4 linked regions of the Cricetulus griseus genome follow. Each later gene encodes a partner of the first gene's protein in a complex. Links are inferred from orthologs where the notes say so. Each region holds a gene or a part of one and is shown in the gene's direction. Other genes may lie near its edges.

What was found.
Region 2: the proteins of Smad7 (region 1) and Nedd4l are in contact, whole or in part, in an NMR structure (PDB 2LTY), measured with the Homo sapiens proteins. The link is inferred for Cricetulus griseus from reciprocal best matches to the Homo sapiens genes SMAD7 and NEDD4L. Residues at the interface, in NP_005895.1 of Homo sapiens: Glu203, Glu205, Ser206, Pro207, Pro208, Pro209, Tyr211, Ser212, Arg213, Tyr214, Pro215, Asp217; in NP_001138439.1 of Homo sapiens: Arg394, Asp396, Lys398, Arg400, Tyr402, Val404, Asn405, His406, Arg409, Thr410, Thr411, Thr412, Trp413.
Region 3: the proteins of Smad7 (region 1) and Smurf1 are in contact, whole or in part, in an NMR structure (PDB 2LTX), measured with the Homo sapiens proteins. The link is inferred for Cricetulus griseus from reciprocal best matches to the Homo sapiens genes SMAD7 and SMURF1. Residues at the interface, in NP_005895.1 of Homo sapiens: Glu203, Glu205, Ser206, Pro207, Pro208, Pro209, Pro210, Tyr211, Ser212, Arg213, Tyr214, Pro215, Asp217; in NP_065162.1 of Homo sapiens: Glu313, Arg315, Ser316, Thr317, Arg321, Tyr323, Val325, Asp326, His327, Arg330, Thr331, Thr332, Phe334, Thr335.
Region 4: the proteins of Smad7 (region 1) and Smurf2 are in contact, whole or in part, in an NMR structure (PDB 2LTZ), measured with the Homo sapiens proteins. The link is inferred for Cricetulus griseus from reciprocal best matches to the Homo sapiens genes SMAD7 and SMURF2. Residues at the interface, in NP_005895.1 of Homo sapiens: Glu203, Leu204, Glu205, Ser206, Pro207, Pro208, Pro209, Tyr211, Ser212, Arg213, Tyr214, Pro215, Met216, Asp217; in NP_073576.1 of Homo sapiens: Glu304, Arg306, Asn307, Thr308, Ala309, Thr310, Arg312, Tyr314, Val316, Asp317, His318, Arg321, Thr322, Thr323, Gln324, Phe325, Thr326.

Annotation. Positions count from the first base shown.
Region 1 is NC_048595.1:164,565,340-164,569,464, reverse strand, and holds the start of Smad7 (mothers against decapentaplegic homolog 7), read left to right. Parts: upstream 1-1,309; 5' UTR 1,310-2,641; coding exon 2,642-3,257; intron 3,258-4,125. UniProt on the Homo sapiens protein: Antagonist of signaling by TGF-beta (transforming growth factor) type 1 receptor superfamily members; has been shown to inhibit TGF-beta (Transforming growth factor) and activin signaling by associating with their receptors thus preventing SMAD2 access.
Region 2 is NC_048595.1:174,385,175-174,389,405, reverse strand, and holds the start of Nedd4l (E3 ubiquitin-protein ligase NEDD4-like), read left to right. Parts: upstream 1-1,406; 5' UTR 1,407-1,706; coding exon 1,707-1,754; intron 1,755-4,231. UniProt on the Homo sapiens protein: E3 ubiquitin-protein ligase that mediates the polyubiquitination of lysine and cysteine residues on target proteins and is thereby implicated in the regulation of various signaling pathways including autophagy, innate immunity or DNA repair.
Region 3 is NC_048597.1:81,373,274-81,377,346, reverse strand, and holds the start of Smurf1 (E3 ubiquitin-protein ligase SMURF1), read left to right. Parts: upstream 1-1,222; 5' UTR 1,223-1,486; coding exon 1,487-1,541; intron 1,542-4,073. UniProt on the Homo sapiens protein: E3 ubiquitin-protein ligase that acts as a negative regulator of BMP signaling pathway. Mediates ubiquitination and degradation of SMAD1 and SMAD5, 2 receptor-regulated SMADs specific for the BMP pathway.
Region 4 is NC_048600.1:119,827,541-119,831,534, reverse strand, and holds the start of Smurf2 (E3 ubiquitin-protein ligase SMURF2), read left to right. Parts: upstream 1-1,178; 5' UTR 1,179-1,193; coding exon 1,194-1,293; intron 1,294-3,994. UniProt on the Homo sapiens protein: E3 ubiquitin-protein ligase which accepts ubiquitin from an E2 ubiquitin-conjugating enzyme in the form of a thioester and then directly transfers the ubiquitin to targeted substrates.

The DNA of each region.
Region 1 (4,125 bases):
GAGTTTCATTACTGTCGTAATCTCACACTTTCAAATGACTTCTTAAAAACCCAGTAAATAGTATGTGAGGTTGGATCACCATGCCAACTAGTGGCCTCAGTATCATTCTAACACTGTAGTAACTATTCCCAGACCAGCACCCAGGACCTTTGCTTGACAAGTATCTTTCCTACTTCCAAGCAGTCACCTGCATCTGGGAATGGCTTTTTAAAACACCCTGACCCTAAGCACCTTGAAAGCCACGAGGCCAAGCAGGGCCCAGGAACAGGCCCCCGCGTGCGAATGAAAGCTCTAAGCTGGTCTGCTCTCTGGGTAACCTTCCCGCGCCGGGAGGCCCAGTAGCGGGTGCCGGAGGTCTAAACGGCCGGGAGGAAACCTGCCGGCGGCGCACAGGCGAGCAGCACCCCTCCTCCCTCCAGGATGCTGCCCCTCGCTGCTCGTCAGCCTGCCAAATGCATTCCAGAGCTGTGCACAAGACACACTTCTCCAGGCAGTCCTAGAAACCCGAGCCCGGAGCGGGAGAGGGCGGGAGGGAGCACGGCGGCCGCTGAGGTCACATTCGCGCCGCCTCTCCGCCCTCGGCCGCCCGGCTGTTCCCTCTAGCGCACACTTCCTAGGGCCTCTGTCCTGGCCGGTGTAAATGTCTTTGAAACAGACAGCGTTCTCCTCCCCTTTCCAAGGGATCCGCCGCCAGGGCCTTAAAACAAATCGAATGAATGAATCGCCGGGGCGAGCTCCGCTGGTCTAAATCGGGCCACCGACCGACTCGCTCCTTTCCAAACTCGCCCGCTCCATGCCCCCAGCTCTTCCGATTTCTCCCCTGCTCCCGCTGGGTCTCCGTCGACCCCCGGGCTGTCTCGGCCTCCCACCTCCCTCCACCCATGCGTACCCCTCTGCAGACCTAAGAGAGGGTGGCGGTAACGGGGGGGGGGGGTTGAAATAGCTTTTAGAAACCCGATCTGTTGTTTGCGAAACACAATCGCTTTTTTTTTTTTTAAAGCGACAGGGTGTCTAGACGGCGTGAGGCCCCGGGCGACACTCGCTAGCAGATCGGCGCACAGAGGATCTTGTCCCCGAGCTGCGCCAGCAGAGCCAGCCGGGCGCCTCGCTCGGTCCGCTCGCCGCGCCGGAGAGAGCTGCCCGAGACGCAGCCAGCCAGCCGGCCGGCGCCACGCCGCCGAGCGCTCGGCCCCGGAGTCCCTGAGTGCGGCGCGGCGAGCCCCCAGCGGCGGCAGAAGGACTCGAGCGCCAGGAGAGGGCGGACGGGGGACGAGGAGGCTCCCGGGCGAGACGAGGAGAGTCTCGGAGGAAGAGGCAGCGAGAGGACACCCGGGCCTCCTGCCGCCACAGTCGGTTCGGGGCCAGTAGCTCCTTCGGGCAGCCTCTGCAGCCACCGGCGACCAGGGGAAGGGGCATCGGCGGCCCCCACACTAGTCTGCTGCTTGTGCCCTCGGGGGCGAGAGCTTGCGACCCGCCGGAGCCCGCCGCCGCGCCGCCCTCCCTTGCGCTGACAGCCCCCCGGGGCGCAGCCGCCGCCGCAGCATCTTCTGTCCCTGCTTCCCCAGAGCCGAGGAAGTCCCCGCCGAGGACCTGGGCCCCCGGGAGCGCAGGAGGAAAGACCAGAGACTCTGAAACACCCAGACACGCAAGATTGAAGCAGCCTAGCCAGACCCTTCTGTGGATTAAAAGAAATACGATTTTTTTTTTTGGCAGAAGAAAAGGAAAGGAAGACCCGCAGGGTTCTGCAAGGAAAAAAAAGGGGGGGATGTAACTCGTGGATACGTTTTTTCCCCACCCCTCCAACATCTTGTTCTACTTTGTAAACATTTTCTCTTCTAAACCCGGGCTCCATCCGGTGGCCCCCAGACCTCCGAGGTGCCAGGAGGTGTTGTGTGTGTTTTTTTTTTTTTTTCATTGGGGGCTTTGCATATTTGGTTTTGGGTTTTTTTTTTTTTTTTGAGAGACCCTACAGACGTCTCACGCGGGGTGAAGTCTACTCGGCCCCCTCCCTCTAGTCTTCGCGAGCACAGAATTCGAGGAGATCCGGTTACTAAGGATATAGAAGAAAAAAATAAATCGTGTGCCTGCTTTTTTTTTTTTAATTGCCTGCTTCTCCCCACCCCCAAATTAAGTTGCTTAGCAAGGGGGAAAGAGGCTTTTTCCTCCCTTCAGTAGCACAGCCTAACGCCTTTCGTTTTTTTGCCCCCGAGGATCTTCCATGTAGGAAGCCGAGGCTGGCGAGCCCGACACTCGGGAGCTACTGTAGGGGGGCCTCTTTTGGGGGAGGCGTCCACCGGGGCAGTCTCGGCCGCCCCCAGGGAAGCGGCGGCCGCGTTTCTCCGGGGCGCGCCGGGGCCCGAGAGCCGCGCAGGGCGCGGGCCGCGCCGGGTGGGGCAGCCGAAGCGCAGGCCCCGATCCCCGGCGGGCGCCCCCGGGCCCCGCGCGCGCCCCGGCCTCCGGGAGACTGGCGCATGCCACGGAGCGCCCATCGGGCCGCCGCCGCTCTTGCCCGGGCCCCTGCTGTTGCTGCTGTCGCCTGCGCCTGCTGCCACAACTCGGCGCCCGACTTCTTCATGGTGTGCGGAGGTCATGTTCGCTCCTTAGCCGGCAAACGACTTTTCTCCTCGCCTCCTCGCCCCGCATGTTCAGGACCAAACGATCTGCGCTCGTCCGGCGTCTCTGGAGGAGCCGTGCGCCAGGCGGCGAGGACGAGGAGGAGGGCGTGGGGGGTGGCGGCGGCGGCGGAGGCGAGCTGCGGGGAGAAGGGGCGACGGACGGCCGGGCTTATGGGGCTGGTGGCGGCGGCGCGGGCAGGGCTGGCTGCTGCCTGGGCAAGGCGGTCCGAGGTGCCAAAGGTCACCACCATCCCCATCCCCCAACCTCGGGTGCAGGGGCGGCCGGGGGCGCCGAGGCGGATCTGAAGGCGCTCACGCACTCGGTGCTCAAGAAACTCAAGGAGCGGCAGTTGGAGCTGCTGCTCCAGGCCGTGGAGTCCCGCGGCGGTACGCGCACCGCGTGCCTACTGCTGCCCGGCCGCCTGGACTGCAGGCTGGGCCCGGGGGCGCCCGCCAGCGCGCAGCCCGCGCAGCCGCCCTCGTCCTACTCGCTCCCCCTCCTGCTGTGCAAAGTGTTCAGGTGGCCGGATCTCAGGCATTCCTCGGAAGTCAAGAGGCTGTGTTGCTGTGAATCTTACGGGAAGATCAACCCCGAGCTGGTGTGCTGCAACCCCCATCACCTTAGTCGACTCTGCGAACTAGGTAAGAAGTTGTTCTGTGTCCACCTTTCGTTCCCTCCTGCGCGGAAGTGTTGGTAGAATTCCCAGGGTGTGTGTGCATCCCCCTTCTGGAGGAGAGGAGGGAAATAAAATCAGGGAAGGGACAAGGGGAAACTCGGACATTCTTTGGGGTTCCCTTTCATATTCTATCTCCCGCCTCCACCCTCTGGTGGAGGACCCATGGAGACTGTTTATGCTTATAGTGAACAGACATGCTGCAGAAAATGAGACACACTTATTTCCGGGTCAGCAAGGGAATTCAGAGCGAAGTGGGGATCACGCTTCCCCCGCACCCGGATAGGCGTTGAGGTGTGTGGCCGAGTTGGATTCTGTCCAAGCCCGCCAAGGAAGGTTGGGAGAAACTAGCTATAAAAGTTGGAAAGTCTCCTCTCCTTTAGTAAATAAGGACAGTCACGTGGGGCTCAAGTGGCCCAGATACTGCCCTGGCCTCTCAGCTTTGGAGTTTGGGGGCTGTGGTAGGATGGAGACCGAACTAGGTATCCACTGTTAGCTATGCCAGCCACAGGGTGAGAAGGAGCAAACAGCCTGGAGAAGTTGGGTCCCCTACTTTTACCTTTATTTCGCACCGAAAAGCATACCATTAGTGGTCCTTAGAACCCCAGCCCCCTGTGTCTCCCTTTTCTTAATTGCCCTGGAGCCTGGCCTTCATAGCTGGGACCCTGAGCAGGTTCCTATACCTATATTATCGTCCTAGCTCTTCCATGCCTTCTGTTTTCTCCACATCTTGGTGTTCAGGGTAGAGGGGCGTACCCTGCTTCCCTCAAGTCTTCCAAGTTCAGCAGCACACTTAGGGTGCTTTTTTTCTCGGTGGGCTAGGTAGGATTCCCTAG
Region 2 (4,231 bases), about 9.8 Mb from region 1:
GAGCAGTGTGTTGATTCCACAAGGCTGGCTTCAAAGGAAAGCTATTACATGGGACACATTGCAAGGGATGAAAGGGAGAGCTAAAGTTGGGGAGTGTGGGACCGCCTTTCAGGGTGTACACCAGGTATTTGATCATTAAGGTGGGCCAGGCAAGGTGACTCTGTTGATCTGTTCTCTCTTCCTTCAGTGAAAATCCTAACCTCCCAGACAAAACCAGACACTCTGATGATTTCTTTTTAAAGGAAAATAGCACGTTCTTTCTGTTCTTGTTTCTAATTTACCACTGCACACAACACTTATTTTTAGGATCGAATGCCTTCCTTTTGTTTTTGTTTTTTTTTTTTGTTTGGGTTTTTTGGTTTTTCGAGACAGGGTTCTCTGTGGCTTTGGAGGCTGTCCTGGAACTCACTCTGTAGACCAGATTGGCCTTGAACTCGCAGAGATCTGCCTGCCTCTGCCTCCCCAGTACTGGGATTAAAAGGCGTGTGCCACCACGGCTGGCTCTTAGGGGAGGCTTCTTGAAAAAAGTAGAGTGACGAATTTCTCTTAACTTATTTAAAGTAGCTTCTTGCATTCCTGTACTTCGAAAGATTAAATGAAGGGCTTGCTAGAGAAATTCCCTATCTGGAATGTGGGAAGACTCCTACGGTGGCTAATAAGACGTCTCCAAGGTTTGCATATGTAAAGGACAAACTTAAAGTTGAATTTGGTATTTCACGTTGTGCCTTACAAAAAAAGCCCGAGCTTTTATCAAAGAACCAGGCAGCCCGGTTTCAAGTGGGTGGGTGTGTACTCAGCGCGGGCGCAGAGTTGGTTTTGTTCCCAGTAGAGTTGACATCGGCAATGGCGACTCGCGGCCACAACGGGGCAGCCTCTCCTAGGCTGGCCGCCCGGCCAGGCGAATCCTTTCGGGGAGCTGACGCGGTGAGCCAAGTCTGGCCTGCCATAGCTGCCAAGAATTTAAAGGGGGTCTAGAAACATGCATCGTCGCCCCTTTAACGCTCCTGGAGACTTCGGGTTAAGAAAAAAAAAAGAAAGATAAAAATGGAAACAATGGTTTTGTTGTTGTTTGCACGGCGTCTTCATGGTCCCCCTAAGGTCCACTCCACCGGGTCCCCAAGGCAGAGAAAAGCGGGGCAAGTAAGAGGGTCAGCCCGGCAGGCCCAGCCCGCCAGGGCGCGCCCCAGTCCAGGACTCTGCGGCGGGTGACCCAGGAGGCGCTGGGGGTGGGGTGGGCGTGGGGCGAAACACCACCACCCCCGCGGCCCGCCCCCCAACCCGGCCTGTGATTGGCTTGGGGGGCGCCAGTGCCCGCCCCGGCGAACGGGAGGGTCGCCGTGGGCGCCGGGCGGCGCAGGCGGGGCGGAGAGGGCGGGCCGGGCGGAGCAGGCGAGGGGCGGGGGCGCGGGTCCCAGGGATCGCTGAGCGGGGCTTGGGGAGGCCGGGAGAGCCAGCGGCGGGGGCGGGAGCCCGCGGGCTGAGCGCTGAGCAGAGAGAGCGCTCGGCCAGCCGCCGCTCGGCGCGCTCTCGGAGCCGCCAGTCCGCGCGTCCCCGCAGCCTTCCGGGAGGAAGCGGCGCCGCGGCCGGGTGCAGCCTCACCTGCCGGCCCTTCCCCGCCCGGCGGCGCAGAAGGACAGAGGGTCGCGGCCCCGCGACGCACTTCAGCCGATCGCAGCGTCTAGGACCCCGCGCGGGGCGCCGGCTCCATGGCGACCGGGCTCGGGGAGCCCGTCTACGGACTTTCGGAAGAGGAGGTGAGTTTCTGCCTAGAGCGTTGTGGGGAGAGGACGGGGCCACTCCGCTGCGCGCGTCCCTTGCTAGCAGTGGGTCCCGGAATCCGGGTGACCCAGAGCGGTCCGGAGCGGTGGGTGACTTGTCCGGGTGAAGCGCTCCGCTCCTCTGCCCGGGGCTCTCGGGGTGGGCGGAGGCCGCGTGAGTCGCTGCCCCGCGGGTCCCTTTCCTCTGCAAGCTGCGTCTCTCAGGGCTGTTAGGCAACTTTCCTGGTCATGCCCCTGCAGCCAGGAGTCCGTGACAAGTGTCACGTCTGGGTCGCTGCAGGGGTCTCTGCGTGGCGCAGGCTATCTGGGGATTGTTGAGGAGCCTGGTGGTGTCTCCTTCTGGGACTTTTCTTGCTAGTGGGCGCTCGGCAGCGGATGTGTGCAGATCCCGGGGGGGGGGGGGGTGACACCGGGAGAGTTGTGTACGGCCGCCCCTGGGTCTTGCAAAGTCTGGAGCTGGGATTGTGCGTTTCGAACTCCTCTATTTTGGTGTGTGGAGGTGATCTGAGAAGGAGGCAGGTGCTGCAGGAAACTTAGGGGAAGCTTGCAGCCCTGCCATTTCTCCTTCGTCAAGAGGATTCAAAGCCCCGCACCTCTGGGGTGGGTGGAGAGAAGAAAGCTCCATTGATCTCTTTTATTAATAAAACGAATGAAATAAGCCACACCCCCAAACGGTCGGTTTGACTGGAGAGGGCTTTGTTTTTAAAAAATCTCACTCGCTCATCGCGGTCCCCACTCCCCCTTTTGAAAGGATCCTGCTAAATCACTGCTCAGCCCTCACTCGACCAGCCATTCTCGACTCTTATTGGTGTGTTGCTCTGCCAAAAAGGGGGGTGGGAGGCCTGTCGCGGGCTCGGAGTGACAGGCAGGCTGGATGGAGCAGGTAGGAGTGGTTCGCCATCTGGCGGGGTGCGCGCCCAGGTCTGGCTCCCCTTTCGAGAGGTGAATTTACAACCCATGAAGCATTACTCAGCGGGGAGGTATTTCCTATCCTGGTTGTGCATTTCATGAAAAGTGGATGCCTGGAAATTTGGGCTTTCTTGATTTCTCTTTCTTACCCTCGCTCCTTTCTTTCTGAGGTTCTCTCTTTCTCTGGAGATGGGGGTGGGGTTTAAAGAGAGTCTATTATGTGAGACCGATTCACAGATTCACGTTATGGCTTTGCTTTCAGCAGCTTCCCTATTGGCATGTGTGTGTGTGTGTGTGTGTGTGTGTGTGTGTGTGTGTGTGTGTGTGTACTGCTTTCCTACTGTGGCATGGTGTGTGAGTGTGTGTATTCTACCTAAGTGTGGAATGAAATGGGTATCTTGAGGTAGGCAGGGCATGTAAGGGTTGATTTTATTTTTTGATAGTGCTTGCTGGATTGCTTATTTTATCAAAGAATGATCACAATGCAAATAATGTGTGATATGTTTTTGATTATTTGTCATGCTTGTGTAAAATAAAGTGTGTGTGTGTGTGTGTGTGTGTGTGTGTGTGTGTGTGTGTGTGTGTGCTGTTAGCTGTTACCTGGAGATGGGTGAAAGTAGACTTGTTTTGTTTACCCAGGGGATTCTCCTCCTAGCTCCTTGTCTAGAGCTGGAGGGCAGTCTGAGCTCTTGGAGGTGCTGAGATACTGAACAAAGGGCTCCCTGGATGAGGTATCAAGGGAGATGAAGACAGCTGCGTTTCTTCTTAGGGTCTCTTAATTTTTAAAAATAACATGCTTATTTTTAAAAGCTCCTTGAAAGAAATATTTTAAGGGTGTTTTGGGAAATGTATCTGCCTAAAGGAATCCTATCTGTCACTGGTGTGCGCGCGCTTTGTTTATGCTGGCAGCCAGTGTCAGAATCCACCTCAGGAGCATCTTGACACTTTTGTCTCCGAGAATCGCTGCTGATCCTGACTGGTGTGGGGTGTCAAAGTGGAGAACATAGACACAAGAACCGAGTGTGCCTGTGACTGTTCGCTCCTGCGTATTGTCAGAGGGACTGTATAGGGAATAGCAAGAGGAGATGAAAAACACTATTTATGTATTCTGTTTAGTTCCTCAAACATCATATATGATCCAAAATAAGCTGCATCTGCCTCCCTTTTTCATTTTTCTATCACCAATAGAAAATGATTGCCTTCATATTTCTAAGGCAATTGTTTGGTGTGGGAGGTTTCCCTCTGTTCAGGGAGGGGGCCATTTGAAGACATACAGAACTCCTTCATATAGTATTAACACCAAATTGTTAAATTTGCTTGCTTTGTCGCCTCTCCCGAATTAGTGTGTAAGCAAACAAATGAGAGTAATTAACAGGCTCTGAAAGTGGACTGCCTGATGAAATGAACAGCACTAGAGGCTTGTCAAGTTGTGTTAAATAGTGAGCACCAGAGGGCTGCAAGTATCACATGGAGACACCCGTGTAGGGGTAGAGAGGAGTCTACTTGTAGACCTTGAGAAAATCGGGCACTGTACCCAGGGTTTC
Region 3 (4,073 bases), on another chromosome or scaffold:
TTCATGCTTGCACAACAAACACTTTATCAATGGAGCTATCATACCAACCCTCATCAAAGACTCTTAAATGGATTTATTCTGACCTAGGGTCTCAATCTCAATGACAGCTGCCTAGAAAATGAGACAGAGCTAGCGTCTGGATTAACTGTTGCTCATATACTGTTCCTTTTCTTAGACAATTCACTACAGCTATTTGAAACTCTGGGCTGCACAGGGTCATAGAAACAAAACAAACCACTAGGGTAAGGCCAGGTGGGTTGTGGTACAGGCTGGTAATCAGGAAGCTGAGGCAGGAGGATCACAAGTTCGAGGCCAGCTTGGTCTAAAAATGAGCCTCTGTCTCCAAAGAGGGTGGCTAAGTGCTGTGGGTAACAGGGCTAAGGAAGCCACATAAACTCTGTCTATGAAAAGAATTAGGTTCATATCAGATGTGAGTTAGGTAAACATACCCAGCCTTTTCAAGAACGTTTTATTTCCTCTCTAGAATGTGTTACCATAGAGATGGGTTTGCTTGCTGGGGAAAACACAGCTTTTACTTTTTTACCTGCCTGCCTCTCTAGGGGCGCACACGCGCGCGGGGTGTGTGTGTTTCACCCGAAGGCAGGGAATCGCAAATCCCACTGCTTACCTTCCTAGGTTAGTTTAATTGCATGCAGGTCCCTAACCACAAAACCACACACCTCTCCAGTTTACATCACTCATCTAGTTTAGCTGGTCCATATGCCTCACTTCCTGAGGGTCTAGCCACTTTGTCAATCGAATACACCAGTTGCACAGGGCACACCCGATCATTGTGGAAAGTCCTCTCTTGGAACTTGCAGGATCTAAACGTTATTTTCTCAAAAATGATATCGCGTGCCCGTGGGCGCACGCGCGCAAGGTGCTTGGGGTTTCACACAATCCTCTGGCTTCCATCAGGAAAAAGTCCGACTCTAGAAAAATAATTCGATTTCCCAAATCGTTGCACAAGCAAATCAGTTCGTTCCGAGATTGTGGCTAAGAAGTGCTCCGCGAGCGGGATGTCTGTTTCAAGAATCTCCACGGGCTGCAGAAACCTAGTAGCTCCCTGAACCTTCGCGTGCGCGCCCAGGACGAACGCTGTCGGCGTAGCGCCGTGCTCCTCGGGCGCGCGCACGCATGCACGCACGCAAGCGCGGGGCCGCGCAGGGCCGGGCCGGCACGGCGACGGGCGCGCGCAGCTCGGGAGGCGGCGGCGGAAGCAGCGAGGGCGGCGGGCGTCCGGCTGCGAGCGCGGCGGCTCCGGGCTGGCGGCCAGGGGCGGCTCCGGGCGGCGGCGCAGCCGAGCGCTCCGTCCTGCGGCTCCAGCCCGCGGCTCCCGTCCGACGCCTGCGCCGCTCACTCGGCGTCCCGGCTCGGACCCCGGCACCCCAGCCCGTGGCCGTAACCTTGAGGCGGCGGCGGGGCCGGGCCGGGCCGGCTGGGGGCGGCGGCGCTGGATCCAAGGCCGGCCGGCCGCTGGCGGGAGATGTCGAACCCCGGGACGCGTAGGAACGGCTCTAGCATCAAGATCCGTCTGACAGGTAGGCACTACAGGGCCGCGGCCCTCGCGCCCCCAGGCGGTCCCAGGGACCTCGAGGACTCCCACCCCGCCGCACCGGCCGTTGTCCCGGGACCGCCGCACCCCCCACGGCGTGCGCCCCTCGCTCCCTTTCCCGGCCCCGCCCCCCCGGCTGCTCTGCAGGCGCCGCCCCCGCCGCCCAGTACCCTCCCTCTGCATCAGGCCCCACCCCCGGCCATCAGGCCCCGCCCGCTGCGGCAGCCCCGCCCTCTTGCATCTAGCCCCGCCCCTATTGATCCGCAGATCCTCCCCCTTTCGTAACCAGGTTCAGCCCTCGACTGTTCTGCAGACTCCCGCCCCCTCCCCCCACAGGCTCCACCTCTTTACTTTGTAGCCTTGGTGCCCCGCCCTCTGGCTCCTCCCTCTGCATTATTCCCCGCCTGCTAATTTCTCTGCAGTTGGTTTTTTCTGCTTCAAGCCCTACTTGCTGTTCATCCTTCTGTCGGGCTCCACCCCCAACCCCCGCTGATCCTCGGTAGGTACTGCCTCCGGCTCCTCCCTCTTTATCAGGTCCTCCCCTCACCGTTCACACTCTGCCCACACCTACCGTCATTTGCATATGGGCCCCGCCCCCTAACTGCCTCCCTCTGCCCCTAACCTTACCCCTCTGCTTCAGGTCCCGCCCCCTAGCTCCCCTCTCCAGGACCATCCCCTAGCTCTCCTTTCTGCCCTACCCCTACCCTCAGCTGCATAGAGGTCCCGCCCCTCGGGGTCCCCCACCGGCTCTCTTGTGACCCTCTCTATATCCTGCCCCAGGCACCCTCTGTCCCACATCTGCCCCTCCCTGCTCTTCTCCAGGCCTTGTGCCTGGCTCCCTCAGCTCCACACCCACTTTCAACTTCATGTAGGTCCCGCCCCCTCGCTGCACCTTTTGCTCTTCCCACCCTCACCTCAGATTTTCATCATCCATTTCTTCACTCACCATCCTCCTACCTGCTATCCCTCTCTAGTCCCACACCTTACTACCCTCCCACCTGTCTGCTGTCTTTTTCCCTTGTAGCTTCTCATCTCTTCGCCTCCTTTCTTCCTTCACCACTGTGTTCTCTGACCTTCTCACTTCTCCCTCCTGGTATCCCGAGAATCGCCCCCCCCCCCCCCACTGGCCTGCTTTGATCCTCTCTTTGCTCTCCTACCTCCTCACTCCCTCCCCATCTCCATCTTTCTAGGGGCCTTCCCCCCTCTTGGCCCCGCCCCCTCCGCTGCCCAAGCCCCTCCCCTTGTTTCTGTCTGATCCCGCCCTCGATTATCTTTCAGTCCCGCCCCCTCGCTTCTGTCTTACAGCCTCCACCCTTGAGTCGCAAATTCCTCAAGCCTGTCTGGGACCAAACGTCTGTCTCCCAGACTTGTTCTCACTCCCCCCCACCTCTTCAATGGTCCAGACCTCTCCAGTCTAGTCCACTTCCGTTCTCCCTGAGGCCTGGCCACTTAGCACTGCAGAGTCCCGGTCTTCGGTTCCTACCTCCTCTGCAGTGCCTTCGCCAACATCCCCCTCAGTGCCACATGCTTGAGTCCCTGTTGTGGCGCGATCCCCCACTCCCACACAAGCTGAGCTGTGGCAGCTGCTCCAGCACAGGTTCCTTGTTCCACTCCGAGTCTTCAGAGGAATTTTCAGGTTTCCTAGGTGCTCTGTAGTGCCACCTTCAAGGGTGAGCGCAAAGCTTGCTCTGGGTCTGACAGCAACAGTATTGTTTGCATAGAGGGAGAGGCGAGCTCTCTGTCATAGCTGCCCCACTTCATGGGTCCAGAGTCTGGACCACTGCCCCTGGTTTCCTCTTCCTTTCTCCCTCTCCTTTTCCTGCAGAGACCTTACCAGTTTGAATCCATCTCTAAAGCTGCATGGCAGGGCTGGCATAGGGCCTGCTCTGGGGCTTTCTAGCTCAGAAAAGGAAATAAACACTAAGTCTAAGGCCTTTCAGGGATTTCCCTGGATTTTTCTGTTCTGAGGCAGTGTGGTCAGAACTAAGGCTCTCTGCTTGTCCTTTTGGACTGAGCCTTTGGGTAAGGGCTGTGATCATGGTGGTATCTTCCCTGCCACGGTGGAAATTCTTGGAAAGTTTGTAGCCGATGAGTGTTCTGTTTAAGAAAAGATTGACATTTTTTTCTCTGGTGATGTCAGGTCAGATAATGATTTTTGAACTAGAACCCAGACCCTGGTCTTGTTGGACATCTTTGCCCCTGGACAAACAGCAGGTGACTGGAGAGAACTCTCACTGGGTGAATGTAGTGTATGACACTGTGTTGGCTGTTACTTTAGAAAGTTAGATTCTTTGCCAGTCATCCTTGTGAAAGTTTGCTCACTGGCACTGGGCCCTGATTTTAGTGATAATCCACATTGGTTTCAGCCTTCCTGTTAAATTGATGGACTTGGGGAGTTTTAGTCGAAATGAGATCAGTGGCGTTTGTGTCAGCTGTCTATTAACAGATCCTAGAGAACCAGGAAAGGGAGGCTTTCCCGGTCTGATTTTGGTGTTGAAGACTGAGGAGGCTCCAGAGT
Region 4 (3,994 bases), on another chromosome or scaffold:
CATTTTTAAGTTGGAGAAAATAATTCATAGAAATAATGATTTAAAGCTGGGTGGTAATGGCTCATGCCTTTAATGCCAGCACTCTGGATGCAGAGGCAGGCAGCTCTCTGTGAGTTTCAGGTCAACCTGGTCTACAAAGTGAGTTCCAGGACAGCCAGGGCCACACAGAGAAACCCTGTCTTAAAAAAACAAAACAAAACAAAACATAAAACCACCACCAACAAAATAAACTGGTTTGAAATTCATAGCTGAGTGGCTGGAGAGGTGATTCAGTGGTTAAGAGCACTTGATGCTCTTTTCAAGGACTCCAGTGTGGTCCAAACTGGGAGACTCAAAAGGACGTGTAACTTCATCTCCAGCAGAATCCAATGCCCTCTTCTATAACTCTGCATGCACTTGCATGCACACATGTATAGCACATATACACATAATGAAAATGAATAAATCTAAGAAATTATGTGTAGTGAAATACTTTCAAGTAGTTCTCCAAAATGTATGTATGTGTTTAGATTTGTATTTGATACTTTTGCTTATTACAAAGTCCTATATTATCTTTTTCTTTTTTTAGAGATAGGGCCTTATGTAGACCATGTTACCCCAAACTTTTTATGTAGACTTAAACTTCAGTTCCTTCAGTCTTGGTCTCTCTAGTTCTGTGGATAGACATATACTACCGCACCTCGTTTATGTGGTGCTGGGGATGGAATCCAGGGCCCTGAATGTGCTACACAGGCTTCTGTCAATAGAGCTATAGTCTAAGCTCCTGTAATAACATGTGGCAATTCTAAACTGCTGCTGTCATGTGTCAGTGGTAAGGAATGGTGCACAGAAGCATATTTTTTGGAGCCTGGGCCAGCTTGTTGGGATTTCATTTAGAGGTGTTAAACTGGACTTCCATGTTAACTTTTTACAGTGCCAACGTAAGTTTGAAGAACGTGCAGAAAAATATGTTGGCTAAAATATTCTCTGTAACTTTTGAGTTACAGGAACAGTATTGTGAAAGTTTGTTTGTTTGGGAGCAAAGAAAAGAAGGATATCTGACTATCTCCCTCTACCCCCTTTGAACAGCTTCATTCCAGTGTGCATTGTAATTGGAATGCAACTGCAGTCTGGAGGAGGAAGGGGAATTTTTGGCAAGGATATAATGAGCAGTTGGGAGCTTTATTGAAATTAAGCACAGACAACCATTCATTATGAGTACAACTTACGAGAACAGCAGGGCATTCCATTCTGTTACCATTCTGTTACTACCGCTGGGCATTGCACTGATACTATTACAGATGCTTGTTGCAGGTAGGCAACTTCTTTCTAATAAAAAAAGAAACTAGTGACTTAACCCACAGTGTGGTAGCCGCCCTTCCACAAGTGTTTTTTCCAGTTACTACTTCAAATACATATAAAAAGATTTTTGTTGTTATTTTTGGAAAAAATTTAAAAACATTTCTTGCAAAAATAACAGAAGACATTTGTAGCCAATGTAGTGGCCTATTCCTATGATCCCAGCACTCAGGAATTTGAAGCAGGTTTATAAAAACCTGGATCTTGGTTTATAAAAAAAATATTTATTTTACTTTATGTATATGTGTGCATGTGTTGAGTGTGTGTGTGTGTGTGTGTGTGTGTGTGTGTGTGTGTGTGTGTGTAGGTATGTATGTATAGTGTGTATATGTAGAAAGCCTAGAGAGGTCAGAAAAGAGCATCAGATTTCCTGGAACTGGAGTTCAAGTAGTTATGAGGCACCTTGTGGATGATGCTGGGAACTGAATTCTGGTGCTCTGCAGGACCAGAGAGGTGCACTTATCCGCTGGTTCATTTCTCCAATCCCTAGATCTTGATTTTGAGCACAGCAGGGTTACATAAAAGGATTCTAATTTCTCCCTCAAAAAAAAAAAGGTATTTATGGTATGATAATTGAGTTGTATCTTTATCTGCAGAACCTATGATAGTACTTGGCATAAAGTGAGTACTCAGGAAATGTCAAATGAAAGAATGAAACTAGGCCTTGTGGCGCATGCCTTTAATGTTAGTACTCAGGAGGCAGAGGCAGGTAGATCTCTGAGTTTGAGGCCAGCCTAGTTTGTATGAGGAGTTAGAGGCCAGCCAAGGCAACTCAGTGAGACTGTCTCAGTAAAAAAGAATTGATTATTAATTGGTTTATTCTGTTCTCTATAAGCATATCAAGAAGGTTATACCCCTATCCATGTGAAATGTAGAGACATTATTAGCATACTATTCTATTAGTTACTTAAATCATAGCTGGGGCAGGGGCAACTTAAAGGAGGAAGGATTATTTTGGCTCTTGGTTTCTGAGATGTCAGTCTCAACATTGTATGAGGACTTAGTACAGCAGAGAAGCTCACATCATGGTGGGCCAGGAAGCAGAGCACAGGGACGGGGCATTTTGGTGGCTTTTCTTTTTTACCGCCAGTGTTCTAAGCTCATGGATTGATGCCAGCCACATCTAGTTTGATCTTTCTCCTTAATGAGTCCTCTCTAGAAACCATCTCACAAACATATACAGGTGTGCCCCACCTACTCCTAGGTAACTCTAAACCCAATAAAATTCACAATGGCGATTAACTATCATACAACTTTCCTTAATTTGGTTACCTTATTATTTCTTTAGAGGAGGTAGATGGACTAGCTAGAACAACTTTGGGAAGTACAGATTTAAGAATAGAAACACTTTGAGGAATTTGAGATGAATATTAAACATTATCAAAGTACTATAGCAGATTTAATCTGTATGCAGCTCTAGGCTCATTAGAGACATTGTCTCTAATGGACTTCAGTGGTAGTACTATAGTATTAATATGCTACATTTGTAGCTATCATTGATTAAAATTAGCACATAATTGCATAATATCTGAAGCTAGTGCAATGTGTTAATTAAAATTAGTGAAAATTTAATCAATCAGCATTTCTGTGTCCTTTGTTTATATTATTCCAATAAGAAGTTTACTAAATGTTAAAGATGGATAGGAGTAAGTCTGAACTATTGGCCCTCTCCTGCTATGTCACTCTTAACATTGTGTGTAAATGTCTCTCTTGAGAAACATTTAGAAAACAAGAATTAAACAGTCTTGGTTATATTTTACATAGTTCTGTTACCAAAAAATGATAGATTAAAAACATATATACAAATTCCTCAGAAACATACTTCCTTAGGCAAAGGTTGCATAATAATAGTTGCATAATCAGGAGTTTGTCATATTGAAATTCATGAATTCTTTGAACGGTTATGGAGTAATTCTCCCATAATTAATGTACTGAAGATGGAAAAAGCCAGAGAGCTGTGGTTCTAATCTCTGAAGTAGATTTTCAAGAAACAAGAGCAGTACAATGAAGACTAGAGAGTATGAAAATAATTTACTTATACAAGTGAATAAAATTACCATTTTCAGATCACATATTGATAATCCTCCCTTTCAGAGTTACAAATATAAGATGTTGCTTTGAAAGCATTAAACAGTATATATAAAAAGCACTTACAAAAAATCAGTTGGGGGGGGCTGGAGAGATGGCTTATCGGTTAAGAGCACTGACTGCTTTTCAAGAGGTCCTGAGTTCAATTCCCAGCAACCACATGGTGGCTCACAACCACCTTGAATGAGATCTGGTGCTCTATGATGGCATGCAGGCAGAAGACTGTATACATAATAAATAAATAAAATCTTAAAAAAAAAATCAGTTGGGGGCTGGAGGGATGGCTCTTCTGTTACTAGTGAGTCCTGAGGACCTGAATCTAGTTCCTAGTACCCACATTTGGTGGCCCAAGATTGCATGTATCTTGAGCTCCCATGGATCCAACACTCTTTAGGCCTCCATGGACACCTATTGCATGTGATGCCATAAACTCATGCAGACACACAATACACAAACAAATAAATAAAAAACATTTTAAAGCTATTTGAAGCTGATGAGATTTAGTCCCAGGAATAATAATCTGGGGCTGAGGAGAAGGCTAAAGTTGGTAAGTGCTTGCTATGTCAGC